Linked DNA regions of Drosophila melanogaster. The protein of the gene in region 3 interacts with the protein of the main gene of each other region in a pairwise test. Each region holds a gene or a part of one and is shown on either strand. Other genes may lie near its edges.

Region 1 (7,299 bases), on a different chromosome or scaffold from region 3:
GGATTAGCGCCTCAGGTTTTTTGCGCAGGCGCTTGGGCTTCACCTTAGCCCATTCCTCGTCCTTGTTAGCGTCCTTGGCGACAGACGCATAACTTTCCGGTTTGGAGTCAGCCGTCGTGGGTAACGCCTTCCCGGTGGATTTCGCGGCAGATCGATGGTTGTCCGTTTTGCGGACCTGCACATTCGGTAATGCCTGTCTGGGTGGCGCCACCTGGCTACGCTTTGTCTTTTCTGCCTCAGTCTGTGTGGCAGTACTCCTTGGTGGGGGCTTCTTGTTGATACCCTCCTGTAACTCAATCGCTCTCTTATTGAGCGCCGATAGGTCCACTAGCACGCCCCTATCCTCGCTGGTTACGTGACGCCTAGTCTCGAACGAGGATAGAATGGCGGTGATCTTGGCTTTCATCATGTCCAGGATGCCCTGCAGGTCCTCATTCTGGAGCGTCGTGGTCAGTTCTGGCGAGCGATGCGGCGATCCTGATGGGGACTTCGCTCCCGCCCTTTGGGCCGGCACGCTGATGAAATCCATTGTCTTCAGGCTTGTGGCTGTCGTGGAGACTGTAGTGGCCAGAGTCTCCACCTCCACAGCTGCACTGCAGTCGCTAGCTTTCGGCGGCGGGGGGCCTGCTTGCTCACCTCCCCCTCCCTGGATTTGGGTTCCGACTCCTCTTATAGGGGATCTCGATAGCCTACCACTCCTCCTAAACGGGTCGTTGGGGTCGGGGGCACTGCCCCCCCCTGTTCTGTCCATCAGATATAAAAGGGGGACTTTGGCTTGTTGGTCCCCAGCGCTCCGTGGGAAATAGAACTAGCTTCAGTTCTTAGGTTATATTTCAAATTTTTGTTCAACTTAATTAGTTCAAATTTGAATTTGAATTCGAATTTCGCGCCCAACGAGCGCGCGGCCGAATGACGATCGCACCGCTGATCTGGCAACGCCAGTCTAACCAGCTCGTCGACTGCGAAAGGTTGGCAATGCTATCAGCTGTATTGTCTGATGCAGCTGATCTGATTTATTACCAGTTTACTGGATCACTCGTGAATTCCGGAACGACACCGTGACGCTCAGAAACGCGGCGCAAACCCCAGAGTGGATTTGCAGGTTTATGTTGCAGTTTACGGCTGACCGGACTCGTATATGACGAAATTCGCGCAGCGCAGCAAAAAGACGTGCGAAATACGCGGGACAATGGATGTGTGTGTGTGTGTGTGTGTGTCTATGTGGAAGGTAAACACATGTCTACTTTGAGGCACAGCAAAAAAAAAAAAATATATATGCAAGTGTCGATGATTTAAGTACATTTATAAGTAGTACGAGCAAAATACGAAATCTATAGCTAGATTGCTTCTTACAACTAAAATCAAGTTTATATCTCAAGGATGTGATATTGTAAGAGAATAGAATACGATTTTTCCCAGTGTGACTTCATCTTCAGCTTATTCCTACCCATCTTGGAGCTGCTGCCATTCATTAATCCACATAGAAATGCCAATGGCAGAGTGAGATGTTGATGGTGAGCTGGTACAGATGGAGATGGAGATGGTGAGGTGATGGTGACCAAAGCGAATGCAAACGAAGGCGGCTGAGGCGGCACAACAACAAAGCGGCCAAGAGGCCTATTAGCCACAATAAAGAGGCAGCCTCACCCCCTTTCGAAATCCCCAATGCTCATACCCCTGGAAATTCTATTATGCAGATGAATGGATGGATATGGGACTAACCATCCGACTGCCTAACTGACTGGGTGTTTGTGTGTTTGCCCCGCCAGATGCCATTACAATGTAAACCCAACAAAAGTTCATTCGGTGGACTTGATGCGGGCATGGATGCGGAGACGTCTTCATCTCATCCACGTACTTCTTCTCCACATATCCGAGGCAGCAGCACTTCCAGCCACCGCAGCGGAACAATTGATCAAATATCATAATTTATCAAATGACAATGCAACAGGCGGCGGCCTCTGAACGTTTACGTTCCCGTATTTGCTTGCCCCAATCCCCACACCAAAGACACCGATCTCCAATTCCCAAATCCCCCCAATCCATTCGAAAGCTACAACTTAATTTATTTGAACAATTTAGGTCTGACACAACAGCCATCGTTTGGCTCTGTCGTGTTCTTTGCGCTTATTTATTTCGATGGTCAGTCGGCTCGAATCTATTTAGCATAATTGCAGCTACGATCAGAACCGAGACCCGAGTCCCGAGATAAAATAATGCATTCTTGTGTGGGGTCTGTGTGTAATCCTAGATAGGGCCACCAGTGGGTCAGATAACCAAATTAAAACAGGCTAGGGAAAATATTGGGACAAACCGATTATTGTTCTATTATGGTAAACTTAGCCATGGCATTAGTTCCAATCGAAATGGGAAGTGCATTCTTCATCGAAGATTGTGCATTCAAATCAAATTGTGTGTCAAGTTTGCTCACAAATTGGTAGGTTTATGGATGCCAGATAGGTTGACAATACTTTTGTATTGGTTAGTTTATGAGCTTTCTTTTCATGGAATAGCCAAAGAATTCGATACAGTAGTCTGCGACTATATGGTCCATCAGAAATCTGTGTATAGCATCTACAATTTTTGTGTTTTGTCAAAAGTGAAATTTAAAGTGATACGTTTGCTGTCTCCTTACTTCATCAACAACCAAATTGCAATGGACAATTATGAGAGGGCCAGAAAACTGCAGGAGGAGGCGGGAGTTCCTCCTGGGGGAATCAAGCGGTGCTGCTGCAACTGCAGGAGAAAGCTGGATCCCTACCAACTGTTTGACGATAATGTGGAGGATATAGCCAAGAGCCTGGCGCAGATAATGCTGATCTGTGGCATCAGCACAAGCAAATCCAGCGCTGCCAGGTCGATAATTAAGAGGGCTTTCGTTTACCATGAACGACTGCGCACCAATTGTCCACCAAATCCGGCTACTGACAGTCGCTTGAATCGGGAGGACCTGCTCCAGGCTCTGCGACTGAAGTGCGAAATGGAACCGGTGGAGGCGATGCTCACCTATGCCATCATCAAGCGGGCCTTTAAGGCCTTCTATCACGGCAAGCCACCGGTGACGATCAGCAATCCCATAGTGGATGCGATGGCGGTGCACACCCAATATGCTGCTTGGATGCATGCGGCGCACAAGACATCCAGGATCTTCGACAACTACAAGGCGGCCTTCTTTTGGGCCCACAAGCACTACGAGAGGCAGATCAATCTGGTTTATGCAGCGCTGTATCAACGGATGACTACCAGATCGGATCCCCTCCTGGTGCCGGGCTGTCCTTGCAAGGGCTGTTCCAAGCAGGAAGTTCCCGGACATCCCAAGGCCGGCCAAAGGCAAATGATGAAGATCAAGCTGTCGGAGGGTGCAGATCTACCAGAACCCTGCATCATCTGTGGCTTGCAAGTTCCGCAAATGGATAAGGAGGTCAGGATGAAGAAGCCACCGCGTCCGATCATCAACCATGAGGTTAATCTACCCAGATGCCAGCAGTGCAATTCGCCCTTCCTCATCTGCGAATGCAACATCGATCAGTTGACGGGCGAGCAGTTTGGCGAATGCGGCCAAGACTCCTACAAGGTGAAGTGGTATCGTCTGGAGGAACCAGTGGCCATTTCCCAACCTGTTTCCCAACCGCTTGGCGAAGAGGAGCAAGATACCAGCTATGATGAAGCTGTGGAACCCCCAGAGGACTGGGACAATCACCATTGTCCCATCGACTGCAAGCACGACTCCTGCAGCGAGTCCTCGAATGTTTGCCACAGCACTTCTTCATCTGCATCTTCGGGCAGTGATTTTGCCACCTGTTCCGACGGCGTGGACAAAGAGGAGGATGTTGTGGCCAAGCTGGAGGATTATCTCAACAAACTGTGGGCCGAGGAGGTGGCTCAGAAGAGGAATCCATCGTATGTGCCGCGAACGATTCATCCTCCTGGTCCGAAGTGTATGAAGTGCAACGACTAATTTTGTACGTTTAAATTTTGGCTATATAAATTATTGAGTGATGAAAAGAGAGCTATTGTTGACCCTTAATAGCCAGAAACAAGTAGTCTAAGTACAGAACGTGTTTTCTCACCTCTGCTACCAAGTTTGGTTCAACGAGCTGCCACCATGCCACCATGCCACCATCCGGGCCACCCACTCCCACACCTGGGGAATCGATCGCCCACACGGGAGCCGGCGCTTATCACACGCCCACAGATCGCGTCTTGACAATGGCCACTTAAAATGCCATTGCCGGTTGTAATCGCCACTAAATTGCTGGCACCTCGGCTTATTCGCGGCTGGAGGACGGAATGGGACGTGGCATTCGATGGGATGGAGCTACTGTTGTCATCGCCGGCTGCTCCGCCCAGCAGCTCCCAGGAGCTTCCACATAAATCGCTGCCTTTATCTAAGCACTTGCATCTCGCGCTGGAACAGAGGCTCCTCCAAGCTGCACCACCAGGATGGTGCGGATCCGCGGATTCGGGCCTGTTCACGCTCCTCGCCGCTTATCAATCTCAGCTCATCTGCACGCAGAACAGAACAGAACCGAACTAAACCAAACTGCAACTAAATGGGCAAAAAGAACCCAAGTCGAAGAACATCTTCTGCGAAAAATAATTCCGCAACTTGTCACATTTTGTAAGATTCAAAGTCGCAGAGACAGGCACTAAACTGCAGACGCCTCTGCGCCAGGGATTCTGGGATGGGCCTGCAATGAAAGGAGTCCTTGACTGTCGGGATTTAACTATTTTTATAGGGTATTCGTAGATAAAGGGGCATACTCGAATGTTAACAGCTACATAAATATAATAATTATTAATGGCAACATATTGATCTTAATTTTATAGATGGTTTATTATTGGTTTAGATTTAAAACTTTGACTTTTTATCATTATCATTCCTGTAGTCGAATCACCCGTGTTTACCCTACATATTTTTGGCTAGGCCTAGACTTCACCCTCGAATTGCCGCCTGCATCTCCATCTGCCTGTCGCTGTGGCATGTTAAACTGGAGTCACATTTGCATATAGATTTATTTTTATGTCCACTGCCTTCGGATGGCTCGTGAACTATTTATGTGTGACGACGATCCAATCGCTTGGGGGAGCGATCTTTGGATGGATCCGCGATCGGTTCTTGCCCAAGAGTTGTGCCATTAAGCGATGCCCATTAAATGTTTGGAAATATTGGAATATCTCTAGATAATGCCACGTCTTGCCAAATTTCTAATTATGATATGCTCACATTGAGTTTCTCTATTAGCCCAGTTTTGATGCGTCTATGTCTGTCTTCCCATTCCAAAAAATTTTTTTTTTTGCTTCGGCATGTGTGTGGTAAACAAAGCTCTCACACTCAATTGAGTGCCACTTTTCGGCTTCGGATGAAACTTGGAGGCAACTTGGTGGAGGCAGTTCAAGAGACGCACGAAACCATTGAACTTTTCAATAGCCATCAAATTTGCGTCTAATGCGAACTGAGACTCGGAAAGTTTCCCGCCATCGTCTTTCAATTTGTTATATCCCTGCATTCAATGCGCACTGCAGCCACTCGAAGTTCACTTTGATAGTTCGAAAATCATTTGCACTCGGAAAATGCATTTGAAGTTTATATATATGAAAAGATAAAACATAAGTTTATCAGATGCCCAAGGCAAGCATTAGAACTTTACAAAATTTCTTTGTGTGTACATGCGGCATCTATCTGCTGCATTGTTGTGGGCCTGAAGCTTAATGGTCTTTTTATAGCTGCTCTTTTTCAACTTCAATTAATGAAGTGTCGAGTTGTTAACACCAAAACACACGCCCAGCTCCCAGTGGTGCAGCCTACTCCCACCGATACCCAATCCCCATGGACCGACCTCTATTTCCAAACATTTCGCCCAGCCGCGGGATGGGAACAAACTTCGCCGCGGCTGCAGGTGGGGGGGGCAGCCGAAAATGTAAACAAACAAATTAAAACGAGCATCGACACGGCAGCTGCAGACTTGGCCTCAGGTGAGAAAACGGGCACACGGAGCCGGGAGTTGGGAAAGCGATGGTCGAAGGGGGGTGGAAAATGCATTTTCACGGCAGCGCCAAAAGCAAACAATCCAGACGGCAGCCGAAGCGGCCAGAAGCTCTTTAATCCCGAAAACTTTGGTAGCACTTAGCGGTTTACGAGGCTGCCGAGCAGGCCCTCAAAGTATTTAGATATCAAAGTGGTAAAGGTGATAAAAAGCCATCCATTCCATCCGCTGCACTTTTGGCGACACTTTGTCGAGATTGAGTTGTTAAAACTGGATGTGTGATTAAAAGTGAAGCTATGACGCTAATTCAACTTTTAGTGGGTAAAGAGGTAAACCCACTCATGGTCTTTAAAATGTAATCCAAAATCTGGTTGACAATTGATTACATCTGGGGTTCCCATGGATAGGAGAAGCCTCTTAGCCCGAACTTCCTATTTATTGATCAGTTAGTACACTTCTCACATCATCCCATTGTGGTTGAGTTTGCTCCGCCGCTTCACGGTGTCCAGCGTGATCCGAAATCAGTGTGGGAAAACAGTTGGAGCGACGTCAACTGAAGCGCCGCTTCCACCTGAAACGCCGAAATAAATGTGGAGAAGGCCGCCGCCAACGCATCCGAGCAGTTGGAGTCCGTGGCCAAGAGCAGTGAGAAAAATGTTAATGATAAACCTGTTTGTCAATTAAACAAAAAATATTGTAATAGTTGATAACAGAATGGGCAAACACGAAGTGCAGTGAGCGGGTGTGAGAGGATGAGAACTTCCCAGAACCCAGAATGGTATATTGTTGGGGCAAACGGGGAGGCAGGGAGGGAGTGGAATTGGGATTGGGATTGGGGCAGGGTATGCAACAAGGGACAACCTGTCAACCCAAAAGGAGGGCCCAAAGGCTGGACTGGCTCGATGTGCTTGACTTTGGTTTCATTATCGCCTCGCCTTCAACTTGAATTTTACCATGTCCCAGGCCCAGTTCGAATCATCATGCACTGCGAGAAACGACAAGTAGCATAGCTATGATAGTGATGATAGGATTTTAAATTGGTTATGACACCTTTGTTTTTCGCAGTGCACTGCCCCATTGGCTTCACTCGGCCAGTTGGCTGCACTGGCTTATTGTTTAGTGAAGCATTTAACTCTTAAATATGCTTGTGTTGTGTGGCAAGAGGAAAAGTGTTTTGTGTGTGTGATACCGTTTTGAAAGACATTCCAAGCTGAGTTGCGGCATGGAGTGGAGTGCAGTGCAGTGCAGCGGTGAGGGGAGAGGGGAGTTGTCAGTTGGAGGGGGGCGAATGGGGAGCATCTCGGGCACTTCA
Region 2 (7,658 bases), on a different chromosome or scaffold from region 3:
GTTAAAGACTTACCTCTCGCTAAAAGGAGCATTCGAAACTCGATTAATATTGGTTTTTCCATTTCAAAATAGCCTAATATCGTTCACCGCATCGATAACTACTACTTGAATTCAATAGCTATCGATTCGAAGGGCTTTCGAGTCAAGGGCGCCACATCCATCTTGTGGCTTCCGCATCCATGCTGCCGTTTGTCCAGGAGAATGTGCCGGAGATGCTGCTCCAGCCGGCCCGGTTGGCCTTCTGCGCCAATCTTCACGTGGGCCGACCGCGGGATGACCCCACTACATTGGTTTTAGCGAGAAACCTAAAGTTCTACGAATTCCGGCGCAAGGATCTGGTGCACTACATCGATTTGAAGGTCACGAAACTAAAGCAAATAGCCACCCAACTGGAGGCCTACGACGGACCGGTTTGTCCCTTTCTGTCCAAGCAGGAACCCACTGACGAAAAGGTGGACTGGAGCATGCTGGATCCGCCGGAGGATTTGCCCCTCAAATTTGGAAAGTTTGTGTGGCAACGGGAGGGCATCTACCTGTTAATTCAGTGCTGGAAGCATCTCGTCGTCCTAAAGAGGCCCAAGGATCACGGGGCCAACTTCGAACTGGTGGCGGATCACAAGGATGTGGTGGACTACCAGATGGTCGAAGGTCCCATTTCCTTCCAGGCCGTTGTGGAACTGGAGTTCGGCAATGGCAAGCGTCAGCGTTGTGATTTCCAGGAGGATTTCTTAAATGAGGAGCCCAGCACGTCCAAAAATGCGGGCTTGCCCGCGAAGGATTTCGAGAACCTGCTGCAGGAGGTGCACCGCGCCCAAGCCGAGCTCGACAGCCAGCGAATGCAAAACCAGAAGGAATTAGCCCACGTCCAAGACCTTCTATACTTCGGCACGCCGGGCCAGCGTTCGCTGCTCCTTGAGGAGAAGCAGCCGCTCCGACGACTCGGCGATGTATGGACTCGGATCTGCGGCGATTATTTTGTTTGTGGCACTCTGCTAGTCAACATAACTGGCACCAATCGCCTCACCATAGTCAAGGAGTTGTATCCGATTGTTGTAATCGAACCACACACCGACTTTAGCGTGGAGCACCGCCTGTACGAGCTGCCTCTGCAGGCGGATGGCCAACCACCCGAGGACTACGACCAGCTGGCGCAGTTTTGGGCCTGCCAGGATCAGCATAGCAGGCGTCTCAAATGGCGACCGGTGGAGAAGGAAAGAATACTACCGCCGGAACGATCTGCCGCGATGGTAGTGAGCCTGCGTCTGGTCGATCTTCTTGAGGCAGAGAAACTCATATTGATGGCAACGTACGAGATGGGCGAGGATGCATCCCCTAGGCAAATCCATCTCATTACCTTCGATGTGAAGAAACTGCTCGATAAAACAGAATCGTTGGCACCCACATTTTCGCCCGCCACGCTGCACCAAGACTTTTTGGCCGTTATTATGACGCACACGGCACGTTGCTCCCTGAAATTGGAGTTCCAGTCGGCCCAGGATTGCACGACATTCGAGCAGCTACTCGTCTCCACGCTGCAGTTTCAGTTGATCCAAGCCCAGGAAGCAAACAAGGAGCCGAGTGAGTAGCTTTGTCAAGACCACTTGTTGTCCCTTTTAACTCATAATCCCTTACAGCTTCCGACTTGCTGGACGACAGTGAGCCTGGGTCTCACTTTCAGTCTTCCAACATCGCCGCCGATCCTGTCCAGCGTATTTTCTACAATCGCCAGCCGCAGTCACAGTGGTGTGACACCTTGCTGCTTCGCGACGATCCCGGAAAGCATTGGCATGTGTACGCCAGAACGGACGATCGATTGCGTCTGCTACTGCATCGCCTGACGCGCGATCTCCTCCAGCTGCACTGCAACCTCAATGTGCTAGAGGTCGCTGAGCACAACATGTCGCCTGCCGACATGGAGATGGAGTTGCTAAACAGTCTGTTCGAGGAGATGGACGCCTGGAAGGTTTTGAGTGAGCCGGCAGCCAGTGTGGAGCAGCGCCGGGAGCAGCTGACGCAGCTCCACAAGGCACAAATGGCCAGCGATGTGTTGGCTTCTATGCTATTCACCGATGATGATGATGACAATGGGGCGTAAATGCGTTTTTTTTTTCTTCTCTTTGCATTGGAAAATCTACAAAGTTGATATTTTGTATGTAAATGCTTTGTTAACAATGTGTTTTTTGCATTGTATATTTTTATAAAAACATTTTGTTGTATTGCATTCTTGTCAGAGTTGTAAGTTTACAAATTAAAGCATTTACGCGAATGTTAAAGCACATGGGAAAAGGAAGAAGGATATAATAAATGCATGACTCGGTTGTGTCATTTTGTCACGATTACTTTAGAACAACTTTACAACTTAAAGCTAAGTGGACTTGGTCTGGCTGGAATCGATGGGAGTTGGTATCCGATCCGGATCCTCACGTGCTGATGCGCCGCTGCTGCTCCTCGCTCTTGATGATGCTATCGAGAACGTTCTCCAGATTTTGCGTGGCCGCCGACAGTTCGGCATTATCGCTGTACGAGTCCTCGACGATCTCCTTGACCTTGTGCAGCAGCAGCTTAAAGTTCACCATCTCGGTGTCGCGGCCATCTCCGCCGTTTGCCGGCTGCTGTTCCAGTAGAGCACCCAGCGGCATGGGCAGCGGCAGAGGAGCCGGCAGGGAACCAGGTCCTTGTCCTGGCTGGACACTCGAGCGACGCTGGTCGAACCACAAGCTTATGTCGTTGAGCGAGTAATCCGATTTGTTTGCCTCCAGATAGCTGCGATTCAAGTCGGCGCCATTTACTACAAGAAACGATTAACTTAGTGGAGCTGTCTCATGGCTCTGTTGAAGGTTCTCTTCTTACTGGAGTGCGTGAGATTGGCACCCACGGGCGCATACATGTCGAATAGCATCTGTCGCTGAGGCGTGCTGGAGCTAAGGAACGTGGAGCTGACTAGGGGCGCAGCTGAAGGCGCCACTTGGGCAGCTGGCGCAGGTGGCGGCGAAGTTACCGCTGAGGCATGCTGCAAGTGTATATAAATGGAGTTAGCTCAGCTTAAATGGGCCGAATGTTTGGAAAACTCACTGATAGCTGTCGCATATCCTCGATAATCTGCAGCAGAAAGCACTGATGGGCGCTCAGAAACTGCGATATTTCCGAACTAGATGCGGTGGCCACTGTTTGCAGCTGGGTTTCCAGCTTCCTGAAATGCAAGAGAACCTTAAGGCTTGGCTAACAAGTGTGGCGAAAGAAGGGAAAACACCCACGCATTTTGCAAAAGCAATCGATCGATGATGGACTGCAGCCTGCTGGACGCCTCGCTGGCTAGACCCGTCAGGGAGCAGAGCTCCTGCTGCTGTTGCTGCAGGACAACTGTGCGGTCCTTCTCCTGGCACTGACTGCGCACACTGCGCGTCTCTGCGGGAATGGGCGTGGCAGCGGATTGACCCAAGGCGGGCCCACTCTCCTGCGCATTACAGAAGCCGCGACGCTCCTCCTCCTGTGTTTTGCGCGGCATCACCAGCCAGCCGCACAGCCTGGCCAGGTGGCGGGTCCAACGCAATGGCGGCTGATCCTCCACGAAGACCTCGCACATCCGATGACCCGGCTCGTGGCGACCACCAGCGAAGCCCACTGCAAAGCAGGGCAGGCACAACGATATATCCCTACACACCTGACACCGGAAACGTATGCCCACAATGTGCTCCTTGCGGCAGCCGGCACAAGAATTACTGTGAATCAAATGCTCGGTGTCCTCGATGCGTTTCACCAGTGCCAGCAGATTGCCATAGATCAGGAATCTCGTCTGGACACCCGCTCCCGTCCAGAGTTTGTGGAACTGCGGCTCGGTCAGTCCACCAACGCCATGCGGACAGCGGGCAAAGCACTGCTCCATAGCCAACGGAAGATTGTGGACGCCATAGGCCTTGGCCTCGCCCAAATAGCTGAGTAACTTGCTCAGCGTGGCTAGGAGCTGTTCGAATGCATATCTGGAGATGATCTGCGACTTGGGATCGGCCAGCAGGCCAAAGATGTCGCCCACCAGGTGATCGCTGCTATATAGCTTGCACAGCAGTATGAAGGTGATCCTGATCTCTAACAGGGATATGGAGTGTCTGCGTTGCCTAGCGAAACCAATCAAATATCAGACATATTCTTAAGATGCCAGAAACTCAACCCACGGATCGTAGACATTCCAGAAGAAGTTGGCCAACAGCCCGGTTGCCCTGTCCAGTTTATAGTTCGCATCCTGGTTGAAATGGCCTAGTTTCTCGCAGGCAAAGTATACATCGTGCAGCAGGGAGGTCAACTGGAATGGAGGAACCATCAGTTCCAGGCCACCACTCAAGTTATGGCGATCCAAAATGGCCAAAACCAGCTTGTAGGGGATTTTTCCAGCTGCAATTTGAAGGTTAATCCTTGGGGACTCCTTCGAATGGACCACCTACGCGACTGACTCACTGTGAAATATCTTTTGCAGCGCCACAAATTTACTGGCGCACCGGTATACCGTGTACTTGTAATTCCCGTAATCCCGCTGCAAGTCATCCATGATGGTGGATAGCTCTTTGTCCACCTGTTGCTTTTGTCCTTGGCCACCTTGGGATCCCTTTTCGCGGGCAATGGACGCCACGGCCTCGGCGCTATTTCGCAGTTTTGTCAGCTGCACGGGCACCGACGATCTCAGCATTTTGTCAGGCGTTTATTGTTATATATTTCCCTTGATTCTCGAATTAATTTCAGTCTCTTTTAAACGCGTCGTTTCTCGCGATCTCTTCCTCTTCCGTTAGCGCAAAAGTCAAATTGTGTGGCGTGAGGTGGCAACGCCGCGCGTGTTATCGATATCACTTCGCCGAACCGTTAGCGCTTTAAATTTGATTCAAAATTATTATTATCATTAATTAAGTCATCCGTTCGTTCTAAGAATATTTGACCATGATATAATAATTGGTAAATAAGTTTGAGCAACGGGAAATGTAAACTGAACAACTTGGGTTCACCATAGTATTTTCCCAATTTCAAAAACAAAACAAAGTTATTTAAAAACCCTTCTTTTGAATGCGAATAATTACCCAAAACGAGGAAATGGAAAGAGTGTCACATAGATTTTAAAATTAAATATATATTTTATGTATATTTGCATCATTCCATTGCAATTACATTCACTTATGCTATTTTGTTTTTCATTTACTTTGCTTTCGATTTAAAATAGTGGGTTTCTTATCATTTCGCTTGTTGTTTTTTGTTTGCTTATATCAATATTATAATATGCCAAGTTTATATGTGAGTGTTGTGGCGGGGCGGGGCGGGGCTGGGCGTTCGAAGAAGGGTTCGTAATTAGTTTATTTAACTTTTTTTTTTGCCTTTTAAAAGCATTCTCCCGCTTCCGTATGCGAATCCACGACAAACGCACACAGATGTTTGCGTTCACATTATATCAATCACTAATTATAATATGTGTTTGGGCGTGTGTGTGTGTGTGTTTATATGTATGTATATAAAGATCGTTCGCTCTTCATTTGCAATGCGCGTTTGCCATTTATGCTAGGGGGGGCGTGAGGCGAGATATAAATTTCCATCGATTTGCTTAGTTAAAAGTACGGCCATAATCGTAGCTGATGGGATTGGGGCACATGGATGTTGGGGATGTTCCTAACTCCACCTGAATCCACTGCTCTCGTCGACTGAAGGATTCAAGTGAAGGCTCGATTTTTACAAGGTTTAAGGTATAGTTTTAGCTCACTTAATTGCACATACTTCTATAGATTCTATATGTATAAAGTTCCTTTCTTTCAGATTAAAGTTCTTTCTTTCGCTGCGACTGGTTTGCTGGCTGTGTTTCTGTTTTGGTTCATCGAGTTATTTGAATTGCTCGTTTGATTTGTATCTGCAATTGGTTTTCAGTGTGATGGCGGCTTGGTTTGCGGTTGAGAACTTGAAACCTGTCTGCTTAGAGTATAGAAAGTTAAGGGTCTGTCTGCAAATCAATTTAGCATTTGTATATTTCGAAATGTTAACTAAAATGATCATAAGGTACGAAATCAAAGCGAAACCACATCGAGATCCATCCAATGTGGCTTTGTTCTTCATTTTCGGGGGCGGTCGGTCGACAAATAGCGCTGCTTCAGAGTTGAATTGAATAAATTATGCTATGCTAAAAGTTGGGCTACAAGGTTTCTCTGTTCAGTTTGCACTTATACAAATTATTATTATTATTATGATAGATAGAATAGTTTACAAAACTAGACTAACTTAGATAGTATAGCATTAGCTACGGGGCTTACAGCTATATTTATTTACAATGTTATTATATCTTAATTTAGTTAATATCTAATTTGGTAACTAATTGCTGGCTTGTTATGTACAAATGCCTGTTTTTGTTTTTGTTTTTTGTTTTCGCTAAACAAAATCAACTATAGGTAAACATAAAAAAAATTGCGTTTTAAATTGTATAATTTTCGTTTGCTTTTGCTATTAAATATATATATATATATATAGATATATATATACATCTATATTTTTATATATATATATATATCTATATATATATATTTATGTAAATGTATGTATTATATTAAAAATAAAAATATATACACAAATATTATTATATACATAAATATAAATATATATATGTATATATGTTTTATATGTAAAATTATGAAGTATAAGGGTATCTTGACAAAAAAGTTCTTTTGTAGAGACATAGAAAATTATGCTCCTGATTTGTTTTTAGGTGGCGGCGACGTCTTGCCCAGGTTTCACATCTCCTCTTGCCTTTAATGAATAAAACTGACATATATTGGATTAGCTTGTGTTTGGGTGTGCACATTTCGCAAGTTAGACTTCGGCGTAGTATGCACTTGATCCCATTAATCCCATTCAAAGCAGACAAAACGGACGCGTACAAGCGGTTCCACGACTACGATGTAGTGCAGCATTCCGTCCCGCTCATTTTGGCTAACAATCCCCCATTGCGTTGGCCGAAAGCTGGACATATGCACTATCAATTGCATAAACTGTGGACCAAACAATGGCGGGATTGGCATGGAATCTATTTATAAACCGGCCTTGTGGTGGGTGTGGTTTGTTGTTACATCTTCTTCGATCGGGTGCGAGTGTGTGTTTGTGTGTGTGTCTGAAGGGGTGGTGGTGGGTGGAGGAAGGGTCGGCGTACTTGTGTGTTTGTGTCTAGGCGTGGCTGTGAGGAGAACCCATTTAGAAACGATAATTCTCATCGGCCATATGAACGGCCCACAGAAATTTGGTTCTTTGCGTTTTGTTGAATATCTTCTCAATCGGCACGTCATGCTTTTTACACCTGCAAATGGATGATATATATATATATATTAGTTCTCGTTGAGTGGAATGTGCTGCTTGAAGGGAGAGACCACTCACCAAGCCACCGATATGCGTGGATCAAGATAGTTTAGCTTAGATGTGCCCAGGGCAATGGTCTTATTCTCGTCTCTATCAGTCTCTTGTAGTTCTAGTTTCTTCAGCTGATCCCTTAGGCGCTCCAGCTGTTTGCCCTTCTTCTCGTCTCTCGACTGCATTGGTTTATAACAATTAAACATACTGCTAGCGGAAGAACCTCTCGAATATACTTACATGATACTCGGACTCGCATTTTTCGATGGCTTCCCGCTTGGCCTTGATCTTCTCCTTCAGAT
Region 3 (7,558 bases):
ATAATGGTTATATCATAGGTACTGAATTCCAAACTAAACACTACGCTAGCCTAAGATTTTTTTAATCTTGCCCTAAGTAGAATAATGTACAATAGGATGGCAAAATGCTGCGGCAAACGGCTGCCCGCCGAAGTGGGCGTAAATTCGGTGTCTTCGAGAAGAATATTCTTTGTACGTTTTTTTAAAACACTTGAATAATATAACATAATTAACTGATTAAAAGAAACGCATTAAGAAGGACTACAACGTGTGCGGTTTCTGTTTCCGAATGGTGTGTTAAAATACTGTAGTCTCTTTGCAATTTCGTTGGGCTGTGTCCTGATCTCATCTGGACTTCTGGACTTCAATGGCGATTTATCATGCGGACGCGCCGCTTTGGATCAGCGGCTCCACTTGGCATACCACTGACTTCTGGTGGTGGCCCAGTGAGGCTTATCACCGAGCCGCGCCTGGCCATTTCCGGAGGATGTGGACTCGATACGTGCACCGTTTGATAGTTAATGCTGATCGGAACCGAGGAGCGACGGTTAAGACGAGGCTCTAGAGAAGAAAGTAGTTGGTCTTATGGGACGTGTCACTTTGTTGTGGGGACTCTTTACCGAAACGGGCTTCTCCGGATCCCGGCTTATGCGGATGCTGCTGACTGGGTCGGCTGGCCAAAGGAGATACCACCCTGTAGTGATACTCCTGAACCAGCGGAACGGACCTGGTGAAGCCTCCCTCATCGTTTAGCGTGTACTTGAAGCGATCCACAGATACGGAACGCTCCTCGCTGATTATATGCTTGCGCCGGAAGATGGGGGACTCATCCACTTTTGGCATGCATTGGGGAAATGTAGAGCGGTCAGTTTGGGATTCGGGGTGAGAGAGGATCGCAGAGGATTGCGTAAAAGCCCAATCGAACGGAGGAAATGAAACGCAAGCTAACACGGCTACGTATGTAAATTGATCACAGGAAAGCACATAGTAATTGATTTATTTTAGGATTACGTACACTTAGGACAGTAATATACATTCGAGTATGTACAACCTTATATTCGGATTCAGTACAGTTTCACAGATAGGTGAAGAGGAGGTAAACAGTGGAGGTCGTTCAAAAACACAGATATCAAACGCATAATCGAGCCCGAAAAGTGCGATGTACAGATGTATAGATGTATAGAGATTGAGGACAGACGAGAGATACACAATACACAACAATACATTTTCCGAAAAAGTCAGAAAACTGGTGCTTTAGAGTAGAGAAGATTGGCTAGTTCAGTACATAGTGGTAGATACATTTAGATTTATAGGATAACAATTCACTTGATCCCTCGTTAACACGGTGTAATAGGCTAGGCACCTGGCCCCCAGCGAGCTAAAACTTTGGCAAAGATTTTGGTGAAATACCTTTTGATGACCGGCGATCCTGCTTGTGGATCTGGGCATAAGATTGCAGCGAGCACCGGCGCAGTCGCTTGTCCCCTTTGTTCTGCTGCCGAAGAAGGATTATTCACGTGGCAATAGGGAATGGAATGCGGGTTATCCTTACCGACTTGTAGTGCTGGTTGATGTCCGAGGCGGCCTTCAGAAGCAGATAGACAAACACAAGGGCGAACAGGTAAATAATGGGCTCCGCTGTGTTACTCTTCTTGCCAACTTCCTTCTTCTTGTGCCCCTCCGGGGACTTTATCAAACGACGAGGTTGCTTGCTGACCCCATTTCCAGTGCCGTTTTTGGTTCTCTTCGTGGGCCTGCCTTGGGATCTTCTTGAAACTGCCTGATTCCGATTGGATTCCTTTCCGAAAACGTCCAACCTCTGGCACGATGCATCTGGAGCGGCGACATCCAATTCGGCGTCGGCCATGGCTTCCGGCTGGGCATGGTGCAGGTCGAAGGCAGCCACGCCCGGCTTAAAATAGTGCCTGTAGTTGCGCTGCATCCCGGCTACCATGAGATACACAGTGCAGAGCACCACGAGGATCCCCAGCGGCACCACATGATGGTTATTTGTATCCGTGTCCCTACTCACGGCACTTGCTTTTCGGTGTTTGGGAGAACAAGGCGGTGGCCCAATCTCTTCGGACAGAGCAAATTTATCGCCGGCCAGAGATTTCATAGCCGAGTGCTTACTGTTTACCAAGCAATTACCGTGTGTATCTGTTGACTGCGAGTCCTGGCTGCCGCTCGTGGTGGAAAATCGATAGGGATTGCCCACACAGCTTCACATGTTGGGTTGAACGAGGGTGTCCAGTGCAATTGAAAGGTCAATCGACCGAGGGAGATGCGCTGACAAGTGTGCTATGTGTCTATATATTTATTGGAACCTATTGCTCTACTTTTACAACAGTCTAAACTGTTTCCGATGCGATACTCTTCGCCACCCGAGGAACATACATGTTTGTGTGTATGCCTGACCTGACCTATGACATTCAGGTGGCGACGTACGTTAAGTTTGAATTGCAAAATCTCTTAAATGGTATGAACTTAAACACTAAACTAAATAAAAAGTTATGTACAAATGGTTGAAATGCTTCAGCATTCAAAGTATCCATTGGACATTCCAGTGAGTTGGTCGAGTATATCTAAAAATATACGAAATTTAATGGAAAAACTTATAAAATAGGAAATGTAATCATTTTAGGTACCTGTGATTTGTAGATCCGTAGACTGATTACTCATGGAGGTGTATAGCTTTCTGCTTTCAGCTATATTCTGCCGCTTGAACATGACAGTCCGTAAACTTTCTCCTGAAAATAGCATTCAAAACATTGGTAACCTTACCAAATTTATCTAAACATCAGCCGACTTACTTCTCAGAACATTTCCATGGGGTTTTGCCTTATCCGATTTAATGTCCAAGGTATTTGTGGGTAGCTTGTTGTCCGTTCGTCTAGTTACTCTATTCCTACGCTCTGTGTCGTAGAGGATACTGCCGCTTCGGGCTGTTTTATAGCCAGTGAAATGGGTTTCGTCTTCATTTACCCCCTTGGTATCATCAGCTAAAAGGGGAGCCAGGGGAATAGGAAGTTCCTCCTCTTGTTTACCAGCTCCCAGGGAGCCGTGCAATTTGCGCAAGATCGTGCGCAAGATCTTGAAGCGCTTGAGGATTCTCTGCGGCTCCACCTGGGATGCGCACATCAAAATAGCCTTGCACTCGCGCAGTACCCGGATGAACTGCTGGTAGTACTCTTCCCCCAATCGGTCCTGCGTTTCGCTTAGACCCTTTCGGTTGACTTCCAGCTGAAAGTGCTCGACTAGCAGCAAAGAGATTTGAACCAAGTCCTCCAATCGCTGCTTATCGAAAAGCTTTTCCGTTGCACTTATCCCTGAGGTCAGTATCTCCAGGCAACAACCAACGAGGGCGCGGCTGTCGATGATCTCCTGAAGCGCTGCCTTGAACTTGGCCACCTCCTCGTTAAAGTGCTGCTCTAGGATGTCCGAGTGCAAATCGGAACCATGGGCCTGCAGTGAAGGTATCAGAGTGGTGTCCAGTGATTCAAAGGAGGCCAGACAGCTGCGCATTATGGTTTTCACTGAAAAGGAATTGGTACTGGAGTTAATTGCGTTTTTTTTTATAATTATATATAATTATTATACTTTTCAAGTTGGGCGCAAAGGAAATGGCAAAAATGCCTATCTGGGTGGCGCGATCTATGTTCACATCAAAGTCCGCTATGAACTCATCGGCCAGATCATCATTATCTGGGCTGTTCCTTAACAGCGCTCTAATTTTGTCTACCGAAAACTTCTCGAAGTCCAGGAAGCATGTGAATACCAAGCGCAAAAGCGCATCGTTGATAAAGTCCTCCAATTGGTAAATTGCCTGTTCCATGGTCATGGCCCGCAGCTTAAGGGTGGACAGGTAGTTGGCACTGAATGACTCCTTGCACTCCTCCTGAAAGGCATTGCACTCCCGGATGACCTAGAGCACAAATGAGGGGAATAAATAAGGGGATACTGCAGAAGATGTACACCCACCTTTTGGCACAAGGCACTGAGAGCCCTCTTGTCCTGAGACAAAGCCACATTGGCGAATCCCAGAGATTGACCCAAGATCAAATCAATGTTGGCGCGCAACTTCTGGCTGAGTGGAAGGACTTCCTTGGGAGTCTTTGGACAGTTGGAGGTATCGGTGTTTTCCTCACTGTGCGAGGTGAACTGCGCCAAACAATCCAATGCGCCATCCACCAGCTTAAGGAACGAGCGCTCCGGAGCTACTGCTTCGGAACTCGATTCTTCGCTGTAAAGATGCATGAGGCGCTTCAGGCACCAGCGAATGCGGTCCAGGAAGTACTGATGACTTACCTGCTTTCAGAGGATTAGACATCATTGTGCAATGCATGGATGAGATCCAAATTACTCACCGAGACTGTGGTGCCGCATTCTAGTTTCATGGTGTTCTCCACTTGGCGAATGCAGATCATAATCTGGCTGAGGCAGAGGCACACCAGCTCCGAGCACTCCGACTGCCCCTGGGAGCAGAAGGAGCTGTGGGCCAAAGTAGCGAATTCCAATAGCACGGCGCACAGGTCCTGAAATTCAAAGCAACAAGTGATTGATGTCCTGGGGCTAGTGGTCCGTTTCCCCCACTTACATTCAGCCAGTTTGCAGCTGCTGCATTGTTCCTGTTCAGTATCAGCAGGCAGGCCTCTAGTTTCGTTCGCAAAATTTCCATTTTTGCCGGCAAATGTGAGTTCAAATGTTCTGTGGGCAGAAGTAAAAGTAAACAACTTTTTTAAAAAGTGGCTTCGGTTCCCTGTGAATGGCAAGATGGCACGGCTTGGCGTTAGTGACAACCAGGGAGGCTAGCTGCCTTCACCGCCACACGGTCCCACTGGACGCATCACTTTTTCGGTAGCAAAAACTTGTAGAAAATTGTCAATTCAATTCGCTGGTAGTTGTATATCCATGTGAAGCAGAGATAAGCTCCGCCAACTCTACCCGTCGCCCACGCCACGTCGCACAGTTGCGCCCCGCCACAAATATCGAAACCAGGCCTCACAGACCGCAAGCATACCCCAAAATGAGCTCCTCGAATGCGGGACAGCGCACGAAGCTAATTCAGGAGAAGTGCCAGACCCTCCTGACGCAGATGCTCCGCGACGAGGACAACAAGTACTGCGTGGACTGCGATGCCAAGGGTATGTTAATGGGGTCCACTTCTCCGCCAAGAGATACGCCTCTTGGTGACGCACATCTGTGTGCGTGCGTGCGTGGATATACACACCACACATGCAGCTGCACTGCGATATGAGCCTATGTGCTGTCACTGAATGCTACCTTTTATCCTTAGGTCCGCGCTGGGCCTCCTGGAACCTGGGCATGTTTCTCTGCATCCGCTGCGCCGGCATCCATCGCAATCTGGGCGTGCACATATCGCGCGTCAAGTCCGTCAACCTGGACACTTGGACGCCAGAGCAGGTGATCTCGCTGCAGCAGATGGGAAACTCGCGGGCTCGCGCCGTCTACGAGGCGCAGCTGCCGGACGGCTTCCGTCGCCCGCAGACGGACACAGCGCTGGAGAATTTCATCCGGGCCAAGTACGAGCACAAGAAGTACCTGGCCCGCGAGTGGGTGCCTCCCTCGCCGCCGAAAGTGGACTGGGCCAAGGAGATCGACGAGGAGCTTGAGCGCCAGAAGCGCAAGAAGAAGAGCACGCAGGCCCAGGCCACTTTGGGCCTGGCTGGAGTGGCCGGTGGCAGCGGCGACAAGCGCCTGTCCGGGTCATCTGCGTCGGCGCTCAAGAACACCCCCCTGCCCGCGCCGCTTCCAAAGCCGAAACCCAACCAGGTCGGCGGCTGCAGCCCAAAGACGACGCAACGCGTCCAGCTGAACAGCAGCGGCGTTAGCAGTGCCGGCGAAAGCGACCTCTTGGGACTGTCCTCGCCCACCAAGCCCATTGTCGCGACCAATGCCAGCCAAGACCTGCAAAACGAAAGTTTCACCAGCTTTCTCAGCGCCGAATCGATTGCCGGCCAGCCGGATAAGCCGATTGGCAGCAACGGCGACGCCGCCAATTTGATGGGCTCGAAGCCGAACTCGCTGGCACAAGAGGAGCAGGACTTCTTCAACCAGGGCTCACTGGGCGCCGGCGGCAACGAGAAGGATCAGTCTGGCAAGATGTCCAAGGACAGCATTCTGGCGCTGTACGGCAGCGCGCCAGCCACCCACAACCCCCAGATGAACTTTGGCGGCTTCACGGGCATGGCCCCAGGCGGCTATATGCACCAGCAGCAGCAACAGCAGATCCCCCACCAGTTTATGACACCGCCGAACTCGGTGAGCATGTATAATTCGCCAGTTATGGCTGCACCGAATGCGTTCAGCAATGCTGCCATCAGCAGTGCCACTGCGATGAGCATGGGCGGCTCCCATGGCTTTACTGGAGCCCAGTTTCCCAGCACCGGGGGCAGTCCCTATGCTGCCGCAGGCCAGGCAGCTGCAACAAATCTTATGCAAACGAACCAGAGCATTCTCAGTGGGATGCCGCTCTTTGGAGCTGTTCCGCAACAGCAGCAGCAACATCAGCAGCAGCTTCAGCAGCAACATCACCCACAGCTTGGCGGCCTCTCCATGAACTTAATGCAGCCCCTGCCCAGTGGGCTGAACATTGGCCAACCGCCACAAGGAGCGGGCGGATTTGCCGCAACGGGGCCCACCACCTCCTCAGTACCGTCAAATCTGAACCAGCAGTTTGGGAATCTTAATATCGGTAATGTGTGGCAATAAATACGCGGTGTATTTATGTAGTTGTATTCCTTTAATTAATTGTAAGACACGAGTGTTCGGTTCGTCTCGGTGTTGCAACATGTGTGTGTGAGACGGCGATGCTTGTTTATATACATTCGATTTATACAACAACTTGCCAATTTAGTTAGTTGTCCTATTCGTGTTCGTAGAAGAATTCATTGTCGAGCAAGCCACTGTATTAAACGATGTTCATGTCCATGTCCATCTCCATGTCCACCAGGAATCGCGTCTGCTCGTCTAAATCTATTCCAATTAAATCATAAAAGGTACATACATACGCGTGTAACACCCAACTACTTAAAATTGAAAATTGAACCACAGAACGTAATGCACTTTCCAATCAAATGTACATGTTATTTTTCAACATTAGCTAGGTATTTGATACGCATGCATTCAAAATCGTCCACGCCAGGGTACGAATGTAAGGTGTAGACTTCTGGCGCAGTACTTTTTAAATGCTTGATATCCTTAAGAACTTATTCACGCCTGTTTGTCAATGTGAATCTAAAATATCATGGCGGGTTGTCAACGGATTTATTGTATTCGATTCTTAAGTTGCTATGTCTAAGGAAGAAATCAAACCACTTCGAACTGTGTAATAATAAAATATTCAGACAATTGTATGTGCTTCGTTGTGTCGCTGATTTCAAAGTAAGTAAATACGGGTAATGTATGACCTCGTGCTTTTAATTTATATATTAAAGAACTACAAAATGCATTACATTTAGTTCATTAGATAAACAGCTTCTTGTTCGGTTGCCCAACTACTTTTTATTCAACATTATAGTTGTATGTACAAAAAGTTAGAATAATATATTTTCGAATT
Region 4 (7,003 bases), on a different chromosome or scaffold from region 3:
GTGCTTTGCGGTGGGGCGAAAGAAGTGAATTAAAATCGTCGTCAAGGTGTTTTAGCTCTTGAGTCAAAACACCTCGCTTTCGTCAACTCAAAGCGCGCACAAATTTAAATCAATATTTGCGTCACCGACATAAATATTAATGGAACCTAAAGTTGGCCAGGAATATCTTGAAAAAATCTTGAAAATCTTGACCGCCCTGGAAGAAGATCCCCGTGGCTCTTGTTTATAAATCGGTTATGTTAATAACTTAATGGTTTTTATGGCCCTTAAAAACAATTGTTGATTGCCTTTCGTTTGATTTCCACACTCTGAACAAATCACCAGGTCCCCGGCACACGCACGCTAAGTATTTTCTTGATTTCTTTTTGGCTTCGCTCGGAGGAAGTGCTCGGCTGCGATTTTCCCTTGACCGCGGGCACAACTGAGCGTATGGAAAACTGGAGTCGCACTGTTGCCCATACGCCGTGTTGCCTCCTGCCTTTTGTACTCGTTTCCATTGTACTTGGCTGTTGCTTCTGTCTCTGCCTCGGTTTTGTGGTGTCGTTCCTCCAGTCGCTCGCATCAGGTGCGTGCTGCGCATGTCCGGACCACCGACCACGGAAGACGGACTCCGGGCTTCGCATTCCGGATTCGGGAGTGTGGGCTCCATTATGGGTTAATGATGGCCAATCACCTGAATGAATCGCCCCCACCCATTAAGATGTATGTTGCTTAGTGAGTAACCAGATGAGTCGAAACAATGCAGGCATAACTAAAAAGATATCTTTGCGGAGAGATAAGCATCTGCTTTTATTTTTAGGCACTGCGTCATAGCTGTAGATAAAAGTATAAAAAACCTAAATAAAAAGTCATTGATAAAGGCTAGAAGTTCTGTAGTACATATGTATGTAGATACTAGATACGGAAATCGCTATTATATACATCACTTCGAAATTGTATTTTCGTCTAAAGCTTCAAGTTTTCAATAGTCTGAGATTTTCTAACTGCAATTGGCTTTAGGACCCCCAAAAGTGTTGCGCTGATTTGAAGGGAATTAATTTGATTTTCCCGCGCACTAACTCTGGATAGGGAAAACTTTGCTTCCGTAAACTGGCCACTCTCTTGTCAGCTGTGTGGTGCTGTTGTTTTTCTTTCAAATTTAAAGTCATGTCGTAACCCGAACCGACTTCAAAACAACACAACCCGACAGCCAAATTCCTAGTGCAGGCATTTTAGGCGGAAATCTCCAGCGGCAGACCGGTGCCCAGTCATGTCGACCGCTTCGCGAGTGACTTTGGGACTGGCGGTCTCCATTTCCACAGCGATCATAGGTTATGTGCACTATAAACAATCGGCAGACCGGTAAGTAAGCCAAATACTCCGGAATAAAGTTATAGCCTCCGATCTCTAACTTCCAGCCTGAGACTGCACGATGGTGTCCTGAGGGACGTTGAGCAGCAACAACGGCGCAAACACGAGAATACCTACACGCTGCAGCAGCAAATAGACATGACCAAGCAACTGAAAGCCAGGGAGGCGTCTAGCAACTCCTCTGACACGCCCGTACCTCCATCGACGCATCGCGCACAGAGTAATCTTCAAGCGGAGAAGCCAGCAGTGCAAAATGAAGGCGAGGCTTTCAGAGGTGTTCCTCAGGGTGGAACGACTAATCACGATGGAAGCCCGCCAACTGACATAGCTTGATCACAAATATGCCCCTAAATATGCACCTATTAAAATCTAAGACTAAGTCGGGGAAAACAAGAATTTCGTTGTTCAAATGTACGCATTTTTGAAGATTTTAAGATTTCGTCTTAAGACAGTTGACAGCATCATTTACGCTGTTGATCGTTTTCAGTTGGTGAAGCCATCTGCGCATGGAAATATAATTAAAACAACGTGGTAAGATTCAATCTTACAAAGCGAAATAAGACTGCAGGCCTAACAAGGGGTGGTGTCTTCTGGATGTTATCCATACCTGTGAGGAGTCTTTTATTTTGAGTGCCTGGACTTTTTGACAATTAGACCCATTTCTTACTATGGCTTCCAGTATAATATTACTCAATTTTATTATTATGAATGTATGTATAGTAAATTACAATTCTAATGGGCGCTCGGTAAAATATTTCGCGGGGGGTTTGTACATAGGTGGTGGAACTCCCCATCGTCATTTTCCTCCTCCTCCTTCCATCTCGTTTACTCAAAAGTGATATAAAAACGTGGAAAACCAACGCAGAGACTAAAATACACGATGCTTTGCGTTACTGCTTGTCCGTTGCTTTCTCTCTCAATTGCCACCGTACAGAAAAAATGTCCAGAATATTTAATACCGTCCACCACCACCACCGCCTCCTCCGCCACCACCTTTGCGGCGATCGCGATCGTTTCCGCGATCATTGCCACGCATGTTGTCCCGCTCGTTGTTCAAGTAGTTTCCTCCGCCGACACCGTCGCCTCTGCCGCCTCCTCTTCGACCCGGGGATCGGGACCTGCTGCGGGAGCCGCGACGGCGTCCAGGGGATCGGGAACGGGAGCGGGCACGACGGCGGCGGGAGTAGAGGTACCTTCGCAGCTCACGCGAGATGGGCTTCAAGTGCATGAAGTTGCAGAAGCCGGAGCGGGTACATTCGCCCATCTCGTACTGCCGACAGCAAGCCTCGCGGAAGTCGGTCACCGGCGATAGTTCCGAGTACACCGGTCGACCACCGAACCACCGGTTGTTCAAATCGTTTGCCGCCTTTTCCGCATCAGCCTCGTTACGGAATTTGATGTACACATTGCCGACCAGATGGTCGCCTAGGTTGTCGCACACGTTCATCTCCTCGATTTCCCCGTACTTGTCCTCGCACTCTACGAACACGTCCTCGAAAAAATTGTCGTAGTGTTCTTGCATCTCCTCGTCGGAGACGTTGGCCACCAGATGGGAGCCATCCGCGGATTTGGCGGAGTTTTGGGGGTTCACGTATAGATTTTGGAGAAGCACCGTCTGCGAGAAAGTGGGTTTGTTGTGGATGCGAGAGCACCGGTCGCCGTGGCGGCAGGCGCCGATCTTGAAGTAGAACGAACAGTTCACCCTGGGAAATGCAACGCCATTTAGTTATTAATCCCGGCAACGTTAAAATAAATGTGCCATGCGACTTACTTGTCCTTTTCCGTGCCAAAAATGGATGCCAAGTACTCGGCCATGCTGGCGGCTTTACTGTGGTGTTGCTGTGGCCAAAATGTGTAACTTATCTACCCGCTTGTCTCTGCAACGCGGTCAAACTGCAATTATGTTAGCCGCCTGTTTATTTAGTGATAATTTTCAATTATTTTCGGAAACCGAAAAAAGCAGCGTCTGGTCGTATTTTGCACGGCGTTGCCAGCCTCGAATCTAGAGTTGCAAATAAAATCGATGATTAGTTATCGATATTTAGTGTTTTTGGCAGCATCGTTTTTCGATACCTCTGTTCTTAATTTAAATGTTTTAAAATATGCTAACATTTTAAATATTAATTTCAAATATTTAAATATTAATGCACTTAAAAGCCTGAGGACTTATTTTTCATTTGACTAGAAAAATTTTACAATTCAAAATAAGAAATTGAGAAAATTATTTACGCAAATAATAATATAATATAAACATAAATAAACAATACAATAAAATAACATTTAAATTCTATAAAGCTCAAGGTATTATTTATATTTGATCAACAATTTTTTTAATTTATATAAGCAATGGAAAAAATTATTTAAGAAGGCTTGCTGGTTTTGTTCCCCGCTTGAGAACGAGCTAAGTTCTAAACCGCAGTCTGGAAAAAGATTAAATTCAGTCGCAGAAGCATTGACAACCCTATCGATTGCTTCTAGAAAAGTCGGCATTTTTCGCATTTTCACCTGGCACGGCACATTTCGCAGCGTGTTTTATTAAAAAGTCGTACAAAAATACAGGAAAAACTGTAATTCGACAGCGCTATCCTCTCCCTTATCAGAAATGGACAAGGTAAGTGCCCGAGACAAAGGAAAGGCGTTGGCATTTCCAATCAAAAACCCTTGCGGTTTTCGCAGGTGAACGAACTCAAGGAAAAGGGTAACCAGGCGCTCAGTGCCGAGAAGTTCGACGAGGCGGTGGCGGCGTACACAGAGGCCATCGCTCTGGACGACCAGAACCATGTGCTCTACAGCAACCGTTCGGCGGCATTCGCCAAGGCTGGAAAGTTCCAGGAGGCGCTAGAAGATGCGGAGAAGACCATTCAGCTTAATCCCACCTGGCCTAAGGGTTACTCACGCAAAGGAGCTGCCGCTGCGGGTCTGAATGACTTTATGAAGGCCTTCGAAGCGTACAACGAGGGTAAGTTCAAACACAGCTCAGTTATATGCCATGAATCACCCGACCTAACCTCACTAACCTCGGTTACCGGCGCAGGTCTCAAGTACGATCCCACGAATGCTATACTCCTGCAAGGCCGCATGGAAACTACTGCCTCGGCTCTGAGCTTTATGCAATCGCAGGGGGATATACCCATGGACGTTGATCCCCAGCAGGCACGCAGCCGCAGGGCTCCATCGCCACCGCCGGCGAAACCGGCTGAGCCCCCAAAGCCCGCTGAACCTCGGGTAGAGGACATGACTGAGGAGCAGAAGAATAAGTACTTCGCGAGGAAGGAGAAGGAACTGGGCAACGCCGCCTACAAGAAAAAGGACTTTGAAACGGCCCTAAAACACTACCACGCTGCCATTGAACACGATCCCACGGATATCACGTTCTATAACAACATAGCTGCTGTTCACTTTGAGCGCAAGGAGTACGAGGAGTGCATCAAGCAGTGCGAGAAGGGCATTGAGGTGGGGCGCGAAAGCCGCGCCGACTTTAAGCTGATAGCTAAGTCCTTTGCTCGCATCGGTAACACCTATCGTAAGCTAGAGAACTACAAGCAGGCGAAGGTTTACTATGAGAAGGCCATGTCCGAGCATCGCACCCCTGAGATCAAGACCTCGCTGAGCGAGGTGGAAGCCAAAATCAAGGAGGAGGAGCGAATGGCCTACATCAATCCGGAGAAGGCCGAGGAAGAGAAGGAGCAGGGCAACCTTTTCTTTAAGAAGGGGGACTACAGCACCGCTGTAAAGCACTACACCGAGGCCATCAAGCGCAATCCGGATGATCCCAAACTCTATAGTAACCGCGCCGCCTGCTACACCAAGCTGGCCGCCTTTGATCTGGGCCTCAAGGACTGCGACACTTGCATCAAGCTAGACGAAAAGTTCATAAAGGGCTACATCCGCAAGGGCAAAATTCTACAGGGCATGCAGCAACAATCTAAGGCGCAAGCCGCTTACCAAAAGGCCCTGGAACTGGACCCCAACAACGCGGAGGCCATTGAAGGCTACCGTCAGTGTTCGATGAACTTCCAGCGCAATCCGCAGGAGGTCCTCAAAAACGCAATGTCCGACCCGGAGATTCAACAGATCTTAAAGGATCCGGCTATGCGTATGATCCTCGAGCAGATGCAAAGCGATCCCAATGCGGTCAAAGAGTAAGTACCCGTTTGGCTTTATTCGTTCGCTTTTTTGGGTTTCATTGGTAAAATCTAGAAATTAATAGCCCATTTGAAGTTAACAAGCAGACTTACGTTTCTTTGGTCTTATATATTATTAACAACCTGTATACTATATTTTAATTAACAACCTCTATATTTCAGACACTTGCAGAATCCTGCCATCGCCGATAAGATAATGAAACTGCTGGAGTCGGGCATCATTCAGATTCACTAGGCACTCCAGATCCACAAACGAACATCCTCATACAATCACTAACTCACACACAAACCCCATTGATAAACATTCAGGAGAGAACCATTACGCATTATTATGGCGTCTCTAAGCTGGTTAACCAATATATCGTTTTTGATGAAACGGGCCACAATTAATGCTAAACGTAATTACCTAAGAAATCACATCGCCTATTCGCAGAACGACGATAACTACCATTAACAGAAATTTAAACTAAAAGGAGAAAACAAAATCATTGATAAATGTCTGCCTAATTGATTTACGCAGACGGGTGGAGTAGGCTCCAAACGTCATGGTCCTTATTTTCTTACTACAATAAATATGCTGTAGCTTAGCTCTAAAATAAGTTTCTGTTTGTACAATAAACGAGTCACGGAAGGGTAAGCTATGATTTTGAATTTGGCGCCCAAGGGCTACAAGATGGGTAACTTACGGCTTAGCAGTCGTTCTCTAACGTTTTTCCAGGGCTGCCAAATTATTTAGAATATATTTTATATTTATACAAAGAATGATTTGCGCCAATCGCCTTTTAAATAAGAAATTTAAATGTTATTATAATGCAAAATCGCATATTTTCGGAAAAAAGCATAGACTGCAAATCTTTATTTTGAAAAAATATAATTTCGAATGAATTAAGTTGTGAAATTAAAATGATTAAAAGCAACAACCTGGCCAACCTTTTTGTAATTATAATGTGTGAAATATTTTGTATTCTTGGGCAGCCCTGTTTCCCGCGCTTACGTTATTATATCCAACCGATACGTAGTTTCGTCTTGCTCAACACTGCAAGCCGCCAGTGCTACAAAGGCCCTGCAGCTCACTCGCAGCAAGTGGCATGGCAACAACAGCGCTGTTCAACACCGCACGATTTCTACCCGAAAATAATGGTGTGCTGATATATTGTGATTAAACCCCAATTTCTGTCGTCCAAAAGCTCCGCACGGGAATGTTTTGATCCAGCTACAACTGAAACAATTGCACGCCAATTAAAAGAACCAATGAGTGGGTAAAACCACGAAAATAAGAATCAAAAGCGAACCATTTTTTTTTAAACAGTGTGTCGTAGTGTCCGTCTTATGCGTTTGTGTTGGTGCGTGTGTGCGTGCGGCTGCTAGTGTGAGTGTTCCGTCGAATCGCGAAATCGAGAATATAGAAAGATGTGCTCCATTCGCTGGTGGTGAGCTATAGCTATAGCGATATCGCGAACGGGGGGCGAGTAGTCCGCAGCCCGAAATCCAGATCCAGTTCCAGATCT

Evidence for each region.
Region 1: the proteins of Spt (region 3) and CG9173 interact in a two-hybrid assay, tested with the Drosophila melanogaster proteins (one large-scale study listed by BioGRID).
Region 2: the proteins of Spt (region 3) and dah interact in a two-hybrid assay, tested with the Drosophila melanogaster proteins (one large-scale study listed by BioGRID).
Region 4: the proteins of Spt (region 3) and U2af38 interact in a two-hybrid assay, tested with the Drosophila melanogaster proteins (one large-scale study listed by BioGRID).

Annotation. Positions count from the first base shown.
Region 1 is NT_037436.4:1,418,720-1,426,018, reverse strand, and holds CG9173 (uncharacterized protein), read left to right. Parts: upstream 1-2,547; 5' UTR 2,548-2,656; coding exon 2,657-3,958; 3' UTR 3,959-4,820; downstream 4,821-7,299.
Region 2 is NC_004354.4:15,325,464-15,333,121, reverse strand, and holds dah (discontinuous actin hexagon), read right to left. Parts: upstream 4,781-7,658; 5' UTR 4,679-4,780; coding exon 4,450-4,678; intron 4,387-4,449; coding exon 4,170-4,386; intron 4,113-4,169; coding exon 3,255-4,112; intron 3,191-3,254; coding exon 3,073-3,190; intron 3,011-3,072; coding exon 2,851-3,010; intron 2,789-2,850; coding exon 2,421-2,788; 3' UTR 2,120-2,420; downstream 1-2,119. Other genes in the region: CG9114 (uncharacterized protein), read left to right, coding at 180-1,578, 1,635-2,095; Top1 (topoisomerase 1), read right to left, coding at 7,204-7,306, 7,384-7,535, 7,597-7,658.
Region 3 is NT_033778.4:8,917,993-8,925,550, forward strand, and holds Spt (spitting image), read right to left. Parts: upstream 4,764-7,558; 5' UTR 4,658-4,763; coding exon 4,577-4,657; intron 4,515-4,576; coding exon 4,347-4,514; intron 4,288-4,346; coding exon 3,961-4,287; intron 3,905-3,960; coding exon 3,580-3,904; intron 3,516-3,579; coding exon 2,793-3,515; intron 2,730-2,792; coding exon 2,628-2,729; intron 2,565-2,627; coding exon 2,515-2,564; 3' UTR 2,278-2,514; downstream 1-2,277. Other genes in the region: CG34219 (uncharacterized protein), read right to left, coding at 344-540, 600-822; CG8248 (uncharacterized protein), read right to left, coding at 1,358-1,474, 1,532-2,098; CG8243 (uncharacterized protein), read left to right, coding at 5,006-5,123, 5,276-6,711.
Region 4 is NT_033779.5:291,320-298,322, forward strand, and holds U2af38 (U2 small nuclear riboprotein auxiliary factor 38), read right to left. Parts: upstream 3,363-7,003; 5' UTR 3,166-3,362; coding exon 3,122-3,165; intron 3,054-3,121; coding exon 2,303-3,053; 3' UTR 1,684-2,302; downstream 1-1,683. Other genes in the region: CG11562 (uncharacterized protein), read left to right, coding at 1,250-1,341, 1,398-1,683; Stip1 (stress induced phosphoprotein 1), read left to right, coding at 3,953-3,961, 4,027-4,309, 4,385-5,492, 5,658-5,730. UniProt on the Drosophila melanogaster protein: Necessary for the splicing of pre-mRNA. Binds to the polypyrimidine tract of introns early during spliceosome assembly.